3 linked regions of the Yarrowia lipolytica genome follow. The protein of the gene in region 3 purifies or fractionates together with the protein of the main gene of each other region. This does not show direct contact. Links are inferred from orthologs where the notes say so. Each region holds a gene or a part of one and is shown on either strand. Other genes may lie near its edges. The genes, in order: YALI1_E31034g, YALI1_E25541g and YALI1_A18166g.

Region 1 (2,017 bases), on a different chromosome or scaffold from region 3:
GCGTTTTTGACAAAATTGCCTTCCTGATCGAACTTGCCCTCCTCCAAGTCTTGCTTGAGATTGAACGATTCCATCTTGGGTGTGTATTTCTTTGCCCTGCTCAGATCCACATCCAGTCCGTCCATGTCGTCCTTTGTGTAGTAGTCAATATCCACTTCCGAGTCGGACTCCTCTTCTTCTAGAGGGGCCACAGTGGTGTGTGTACCGACATCGCCCTCAAACTTTTCCATATCCATGAACTGCGGTTTCTCGTCATCAAACTCCTCCTCCTCGGGCCTGTCGCCGTTATCCTTCTCTTTGTTCTCTTCGTCTTCGTCCTCACTGAACATGTCGCTGTCACTGTCGTTGTTTCCATGTCCATTTGCTCCCTTCACAGGCGCATCCTCATCGGAAGAGTCGTCATCGATGCCTCGAAGCCCCTTTTTCTGCGCCCGGACTCGTCCCCCAATATCCTCCTCCAGCAATTCATCGAGTTCGGTCGTTTCCTCAACCTCAGGCGCCAGCTGGAGCGGGTTATTGGTGTTAAAAGTAGACATGGTGATGAAGAAATCACAGCATGCATGTCGAATGTTTGTGCATAGTATAAAGGAGTATATAAGTCTACTAAATGTCCAATAACAAATCCAACTAGACTTAGTGATTGAAAATTAATGTATTATATTATTATACCTACAGGTTAACACAATCTCTGTGAAATACAGTACTTGTAGAACCTGCCAACAATTTGGACCACCTTTTTTCGAACACACATATCTCCTTAATCAAAGTTTTTTACTTGTAGTGGCAGTTCTCTTGCTCTGGCTAAGCAGTCGCATCCTACGTGCGATACGATACATGCAGCTCTTCATCTGCAGGTTAAATTCAATTATAAAGCATCAAATTTATTGTACTCACCATCTATCACACTCTCCGCCGCGGCTACAGAAATGCCAGCTATCCCTACAGAAATGAAGCAGCACGACGACATCTTCGAGGACTTGTTCCAGCTTGAAGAAAAGTGAGTCAGAGGTAACTGAAGGTGCTCAGACACCACCATCGGAAAACTTATCATGCTAACCACAGATTCTACGAAGAAGGATACAATGATGGACTACAGGCTGGTACAAAGGCTGGGTTTGCTGAAGGACGTGAGTTTGGAGTACAGACGGGATATCAGCGGTTTCTGGATCTCGGTTTGCTCCAGGGACGAGTCATAGTGTGGGAGGAACAGGTGGCTGATCTACCTGAAAGCAAACAGCAAAAGACAGTCGAGCGACTGCAACAGATCAAGCAGCTGATCCACCAGGAGGAGCCCACATATTTTTTATCCAACGATAGTGTGGTCGTTCATCAATACGAAACTATGATGAAGAAGGCCAAGGCCAAGGTGAGAACTTTGGCAGCCAGCATCGGTAGCGAAAAGGTGGTGTTTGAGGATCTGCTCAAGGGTTACACTGAAGAGGAGAATATCGAGGATAACTTCTAGAACGATATCTAGACGTATGGGAGTGGCGTGAGGAAGAAAACCTCAGCTAACCAGAGAAGGGAGATTACCAATTCAGCACCCAACCCTGACGGTTGCATCTCAGACAATGATAATGACACAGGTATGCAGATCGATCGCCTCAGGTTGTCTCATCTCGTTCTAAGGAGGTTAATGCAGTTCAAATAAGGGTGCTCTAGAGTCTTGCCACTCGATCTGCCTCAATTACCTGCTGAGTCGCTCAGACGAGCGAAGCTGCAATGAATATACGAAATTGATGAGTTATGAGTTATGACACATTATATTTAGAGCTGTATGTTGAATTCTAAGCAAATGCGAAGAGTCCCTTGACGGTAGACTTTCTCATGTGATCAATACTGAGTCCTTGTAGATAGGAAAAGTTCAAGCCTAAGCAATCTTTTGACTTCCTAAAGGACTTTAGAAGACACACATGGCGGTGTGTTGACCTACACCAGCACCCAGTAATCAGCATGTACTGTAGAACTGTAGCTACAGTATTTGTATGACAACTGCTTTTATTACCACCTACAACTG
Region 2 (2,088 bases), on a different chromosome or scaffold from region 3:
GCCTCCGTGAAGGATTTGAAGCCGGTTGGTGTGCTCCTTGGCGACGGTGAGGCCGAGTCGGACCTTTCCGCGTTCAGCAGAGTCGATGGAAAGCTGTGTTAATGGCGGACAGAGGGGGTGGCGTGGAATTTGGCGGTTACCTGAGGGCCATTGAAGTACTGGCTGCAAATTCGGTGTGACTTCGGTATTATTGATATGGCTGGTACGCAACTGAAGTCATATTCCGTCTGTATTTTAAAGATAGCTCGAACATCTCATGTAGAGATTCGATGATCACAAACTTGGAACTAGGGAATGTGTCTGTAGACTATCTCTGAGTTACAATCAACCATAGCCCAGGGCCTCTTCCCCGAAAACTCACCGAACGTACCAGTACCATCTCTCACTCTCCCATACTCACCTGAGACAACAGCGTGGGCTCTAGGCCACTGAGCTGGAGGAAATCTCCCCATACCTGCGTTAGTAACGTGTAACAGGCCAATTGGGGCCTTTTGGGGTTCTATACTCACGGCTCGGACGTGTTTGAGAACCTGGGCGTGCGACATGTTGATGTGGGGAAGATGAGCATGCATGCATGAAGTGCAAGGGAGATTGGGTGCAGTGGAGCTACTGTACCTGTAGGTTGGAAGAGGTTGCTTGGTATATTTTATGGACGACATGTTAGAAGTGGCGGGGAGATGGAGTATGTTCTGGAATAATAGAGTCGAGACGATATGATAAAAGATTTCAGGCTTCTTGAGTGATGATATTTGAGCAAGATAGGTCCTTAATGTTGTTTCGTTCATTGTAGCAACCGATCAGTGGATAAGTCTAGTTGGGAGAGGTACAGTAGGGTGTTAAGAAAGCGTCACCGAAAGTGCGGTCCCACAAGTACCTACAACAGCAAAATCGAGAGCTGCTTTAGACTAGAATGAGAGACCTAGCTTGTGAGGTTGAAGTGGCCCACTGGTGAGATTGATGGATAAAAAAACCCATCCTATCGCCCTAGCAAACCTCCACTGTTACCTACATTCCTAACTACACTTTACTTACACTTTACTTAAAACTCTGGTCCTTAAAAGACCAGCCAAAAATTCCAAATAAACTCAACATGCATGCTGATTTGTAAGGGAGCCTGCACATAAAAATGGCATTGAACTGACATCTTTCTCTAAACAGAGCAACAACGACATGTCCGACATCTGGGATGACGAGGAAGTGAGAGAAACGCCCAGCGAGATCACACGAGTGAAGCGCGACCACTCACAGGCAGGCTACCTTGCTGGAGTCACAAAGGCCAAAGACGAAAGTCTGCAGGAGGGCTTCAACGCAGGATACCCCATTGGAGGCCAGCTGGGGCTCTCTATCGGGCGTATTTTCGGCTATTTGCAGGGAAAGGGTCTTGTTGAGGAGGAGAAGCAGGCCCGCAAAGAACTCAGCAGCACGAGGATCTTCGACAGACAGTATTGGACCACTGATGCTGCTCCTACATATGAGGGAGTGCATCCTCTGGTGAAGCAATGGGAGAACAAGATTGACGTCATGAAGCGGGAATAGAGGAGGTAGATGTTGCTGAGTATGCTTTGTGGAGTCTGGATGGTGTACAGTTACCAGTACTCTTACCTCAGTTAACTGAGAACGAGATCACGTCTTGGAACAGAGGACCCCACTACTGTCCACCCACGAGTACGGTGCGACTATTTAATGATTAATGATTGTATTTTAGAGATGCACTTCAAGTATATGATAATTTAGTAGAAGATCTGTATCAAAATCTCAAGCTCTGAGCTTTCTACCAGCCCCCTATCATTTTCGCCCCATATTCAGCTCTACTTAATTTTCTCAGTAAACTCAACTAAACATACTCGACGCCCCACGTCCAGCAAAGTTCAGACATGCATGAAATTTCAGCGTCTGAAGTTATCACCAAAACGAGCATTTTCTCCTGTCCAGCAAAACTGCCATGAGTAAACTGGAGGTGCTACAGCCCCACAGTGTCGGCAAGCGGATCGCTTCGATAGCCGTGAGTGGGACGTTGGCCCAGCAGCAGCGGCGGATAGAGGAGGGCACACAGCGTACACGGAACCAACTGCGCACGCGACAAAAAGA
Region 3 (3,766 bases):
ACACGAGCTCGGGTCGCTGATGTTCTGTGTTAGTTTCTGTCTCGCGCGCGGTAAAATCACGTCGGCGACGTTGTGGAGCAACGGAACGGCGATTCCGCGCATTTTCGCATCCGGATCATTCCTCAATGAGCGCCTATTGGCGTTTTCGTACTCACCAGACATTTTCGTATTCGAGGTGCGTAGTCTAACTTGGTGATAAATCTGTGTTGTGGTTGGTTGGTTCCAGGGTGATTCCAAACCTTATATTATTAGTAAGGCGAAATGAATAATCTGAATTTATGCAGGATGGGAAATGGGAATAATTCGTATAAAAAATGGGAAAAAAATTGCAGCCGAAAAATAACCGCAGCCTATACAAATACAGCCTCTGTGGGGTTTTATGTAATTGTTTCAACCCTACTAATTCTCTCTCTCTCTCACTTATCCAATCATTTTCATTCCGCACATCTATTAGAATGCCTGTAACTATCCTAGTTATTTTGCTACTCGTTGCCAATTTTCGTTGTTGAATCCTCCATTCGATTTCCATCTTTCGCTTAAGCCTCCGCAGTGTCGAGGAAAAAGTAGTTGCCGTGAGCCTTCTGCTCCTTGTCCATCTGCGAGTCCTTCTTGTTAATTCGGGGTCGGAACGAGGTGGGGTCTCGTCGGAAGGTGACGTTGAGAGACTTGAGGAACCGGTTGCATCCGGTAAGCAGAGACTCGGGTCGTCGGGCAAAGGCCTCGACGGAGGGCTGTCCGTCAAAGACAATGACTCGGTCGGCCAGGTAGGTGGCCATGATGAAATCGTGCTCAACGATAAAGGCGGTCTTCTTCGAATGCAGAATGAACCGTCGAATGACCTTGGCACAGATGATTCGCTGCTCGGAATCGAGGTAAGCGGAAGGCTCATCGATAAGGTAGATATCTGCGGGCTGACCCAGAGCGAGCACAATGGCGACTCGCTGCAACTCACCACCAGACAGGTTCTGGACCTCCTGGTCGATAATGTCGTCAATTCGCAGAGGCTTGTAGACATCGGTCTGGAACTGGGGGTGATGCATGGAGGATCGGATCTTCTTGAGGAAGAGCTGTCGCACGGTACCAGTGAACTTGGGGGCAATCTTCTGGGGCTTCATGGACACGTTGAGCTTGGGGGCCTTCTGTCCCTCATCAGGAGCCACGGCGCCGGCCAGAAGTCGACAAAGTGTGGTCTTTCCGGTACCGTTCTCGCCCATCATGACAATGATTTCCGAGTCAGTGAACTCTCCAGACTCGACGTTAAGCTTGAAGTCGCCCTGAGTTCGGCTCATGGTGGGGTACTTGAAAGATCGCGACTGGTCAAGGGGGGTGATCTCAGTGGCATCGGCGAGTCGGAACTGCAGAGACTCGGTTCGGAACCGCAGGTTTTCGGTGGGGATGTGACCGTCCAGGAAAATGTTGATACCTTCTCGCACAGACGAGGGCAGAGTCACCACTCCGTAGACGGAGGGGACACCGTAGAGAATGCAGACGAAATCGGACAGATAATCCAGCACTGACAGATCGTGCTCGACAACAATAATATAACCGGTGGAGTCGATGAGCGACCGAATCATGGCAGCAGCATGCAGACGCTGCTTGACATCCAGGTATGAGGAAGGCTCGTCAAACATGTAGACCTGGGCCAGCTGGACACAGGACATACCGATGGCGAATCGCTGCAGCTCTCCTCCGGACAGCAGAGACACCTCTCGCTTCCACACACCCTTGAGCTCCAGGGTGTTGACAATGTTCTCAAAGTCGTCCTTTCGCTCCAGCTTGGCCTTGAGCAGCTCGCCAACCTTCTGCAGGGGTCCCTTGATGGCTCGGGGCAGGTTGTCGACGTACTGGGGCTTGATGATGGCCTTGAGGTTGTCTTCCAGCACCCGAGTAAAGTAGTTTTGCAGCTCGGAGCCTCGGAAATGTGTCAGAATCTCCTGCCACGTGGGAGGGTCCTCGTACCGGCCCAGGTTGGGCTTTTGCTTGCCTGCAAGAATCTTGAGCGCGGTACTCTTGCCGATACCGTTGGTTCCCACCAGTCCAAGAACCTGGCCTGGTCGGGGAGTGGGGAGTCGATGCAGCTTGAAGGAGTTGGCCGAGTATCGATGGGTGACCTCAGAGTCCAGGTTTGTGGGCAGGTTGATAATCTGCAGCGCGCCAAAGGGGCACTTTTTGGGGCAAATACCACATCCGATACACAGCGTCTCGGAAATGAAGGCAATCTTGGAGTCGGGCGTCACCTCGATACACAGCTTGCCGGTTCGCACCACAGGACACGACTTTTTGCACTCCTGTCGACACTTCTTGGGCTTGCACTTGTCCACGTTGACAATAGCAATACGCGTGTTCTTGTCTCCGTCCTTGACTTCGTTTTTGTTCTTGGGCGGCATTATGATGTTGGAGTTCCGTAGTTCTGTGGTTCGTGGTGTGCCAAATTTTTGCACCCTTTGAAAAATTACCCAACCTTATTTCCGCACCCCTTCCAGTTTGGTCGGTTCCAAAAGGGGAAATAAATTAGGGCTGGCAGAAGGAGCCGTAAGCAGCAAGAAGACGCCGCTGATTGGCCAGCTGCACATTTGAAGTGTGTGTGGATCACGTGATCGGCAACCGTGGAAACGTGTGTAGGGTAATACAAACTGCCACAATAGCCTAGTGGCTCTTATCCCCCGCTCTATTGGTCTACTGCTTGGAATCGCACCGTAGCAACCTCCAGTAACCCTACTTATAGTAAGCAGGTGAGACATGGCTTGAACCGCTGCAAATACGGTAGCAATGAGATACCAGAGGTAACCAGAGATAAGCAAGAGACACGTGGTGGTTGCGGAATTATATGACGGTCTCGGTGGCAATATTTCTGCTTCAGTCTCTGCTTCTATCTTCACCGTGCGAGTTCTCGTACTCTCACCAGAGTAGATCTGCTAGACACCCCATATTTTTATTTGTCAGAACTTGAATCTACGTACATTACTTGTATTTACGTACATCCGTTATTTGTACCTACAAAAAAATAAAAAATGATAAAAAAGTGCATTAATCCCTACCTTCAGCCCTCATAATACGTATATATATTTTCCGGTCGATGTATCTGGATGCGACGAATAACGAATGAAAATCTCATGTCGAAATTAACACTCTTCATCGAGTTCAACGATGTACTAACTCGCGCCCCCCCCCCCAGGAGGGTGTGTGCTTGCTCATTCACCAGAAAAAGTTCTAGATTCAGTGATAAATCTACAGGATGGATCTCGTCCTACGACCCAGCTGGATTCCTCTCATTACTATGTGGGACTTCTTCATCATTATGTGAGGGAATTAGCCAGGTATTACCCCACCCGGGTATTACTTCAACCCCCCCCCCCCCCCTTTTTTTTTTTTTTTTTTTTTTCTGTTTTTCTTTGAATTTTTTTTTTTGGATAATTCGGCTTTTCTTAAAAAAAAAAAAAAAAAGGGACTTGAAAAATGTCTAGCGTCTCATCAAAATGCTCTATGTTCTCCAAAACTGTTTTGGTGCTACTGCAGACATTCTGGACCCAAGCAACATTCAAACCTTTGCAACGGTGCCAGAACTTTGTTGTACGTCCTTGGAACGCCTGTCTTCTTTTTTTGTCCTCCATTTTGCCCCTTGGTTCTCCTGTCAATACTCGTACATATCATATCATACATACCATGGCAGTAATTACCGGAACACAGCCGCACGCACAATGTAGCCCACCACCAATTCTCTACAAACTGCTCCCACGGTTCCATGTTCCATGCACGCGGCCCTGAT

What was found.
Region 1: the proteins of YALI1_A18166g (region 3) and YALI1_E31034g purify together in Saccharomyces cerevisiae (affinity purification with mass spectrometry; 3 studies listed by BioGRID, with this or other methods). This does not show direct contact. The link is inferred for Yarrowia lipolytica from reciprocal best matches to the Saccharomyces cerevisiae genes RLI1 and LTO1.
Region 2: the proteins of YALI1_A18166g (region 3) and YALI1_E25541g purify together in Saccharomyces cerevisiae (affinity purification with mass spectrometry; 3 studies listed by BioGRID, with this or other methods). This does not show direct contact. The link is inferred for Yarrowia lipolytica from reciprocal best matches to the Saccharomyces cerevisiae genes RLI1 and YAE1.

What each region holds. Positions count from the first base shown.
Region 1 is NC_090774.1:3,102,547-3,104,563, forward strand, and holds YALI1_E31034g (uncharacterized protein), read left to right. Parts: upstream 1-926; coding exon 927-997; intron 998-1,062; coding exon 1,063-1,465; downstream 1,466-2,017. Other genes in the region: YALI1_E31031g (uncharacterized protein), read right to left, coding at 1-536. UniProt on the Saccharomyces cerevisiae protein: Essential for life in oxygen, but nonessential under anaerobic conditions. Required for biogenesis of the large ribosomal subunit and initiation of translation in oxygen.
Region 2 is NC_090774.1:2,552,988-2,555,075, forward strand, and holds YALI1_E25541g (uncharacterized protein), read left to right. Parts: upstream 1-1,170; coding exon 1,171-1,536; downstream 1,537-2,088. Other genes in the region: YALI1_E25537g (uncharacterized protein), read right to left, coding at 288-785; YALI1_E25549g (uncharacterized protein), read left to right, coding at 1,943-2,088. UniProt on the Saccharomyces cerevisiae protein: The complex LTO1:YAE1 functions as a target specific adapter that recruits apo-RLI1 to the cytosolic iron-sulfur protein assembly (CIA) complex machinery.
Region 3 is NC_090770.1:1,815,205-1,818,970, reverse strand, and holds YALI1_A18166g (uncharacterized protein), read right to left. Parts: upstream 2,388-3,766; coding exon 537-2,387; downstream 1-536. Other genes in the region: YALI1_A18188g (uncharacterized protein), read right to left, coding at 1-24, 156-162. UniProt on the Saccharomyces cerevisiae protein: Component of the multifactor complex (MFC) involved in translation initiation. Required for the binding of MFC to the 40S ribosome. Required for the processing and nuclear export of the 60S and 40S ribosomal subunits.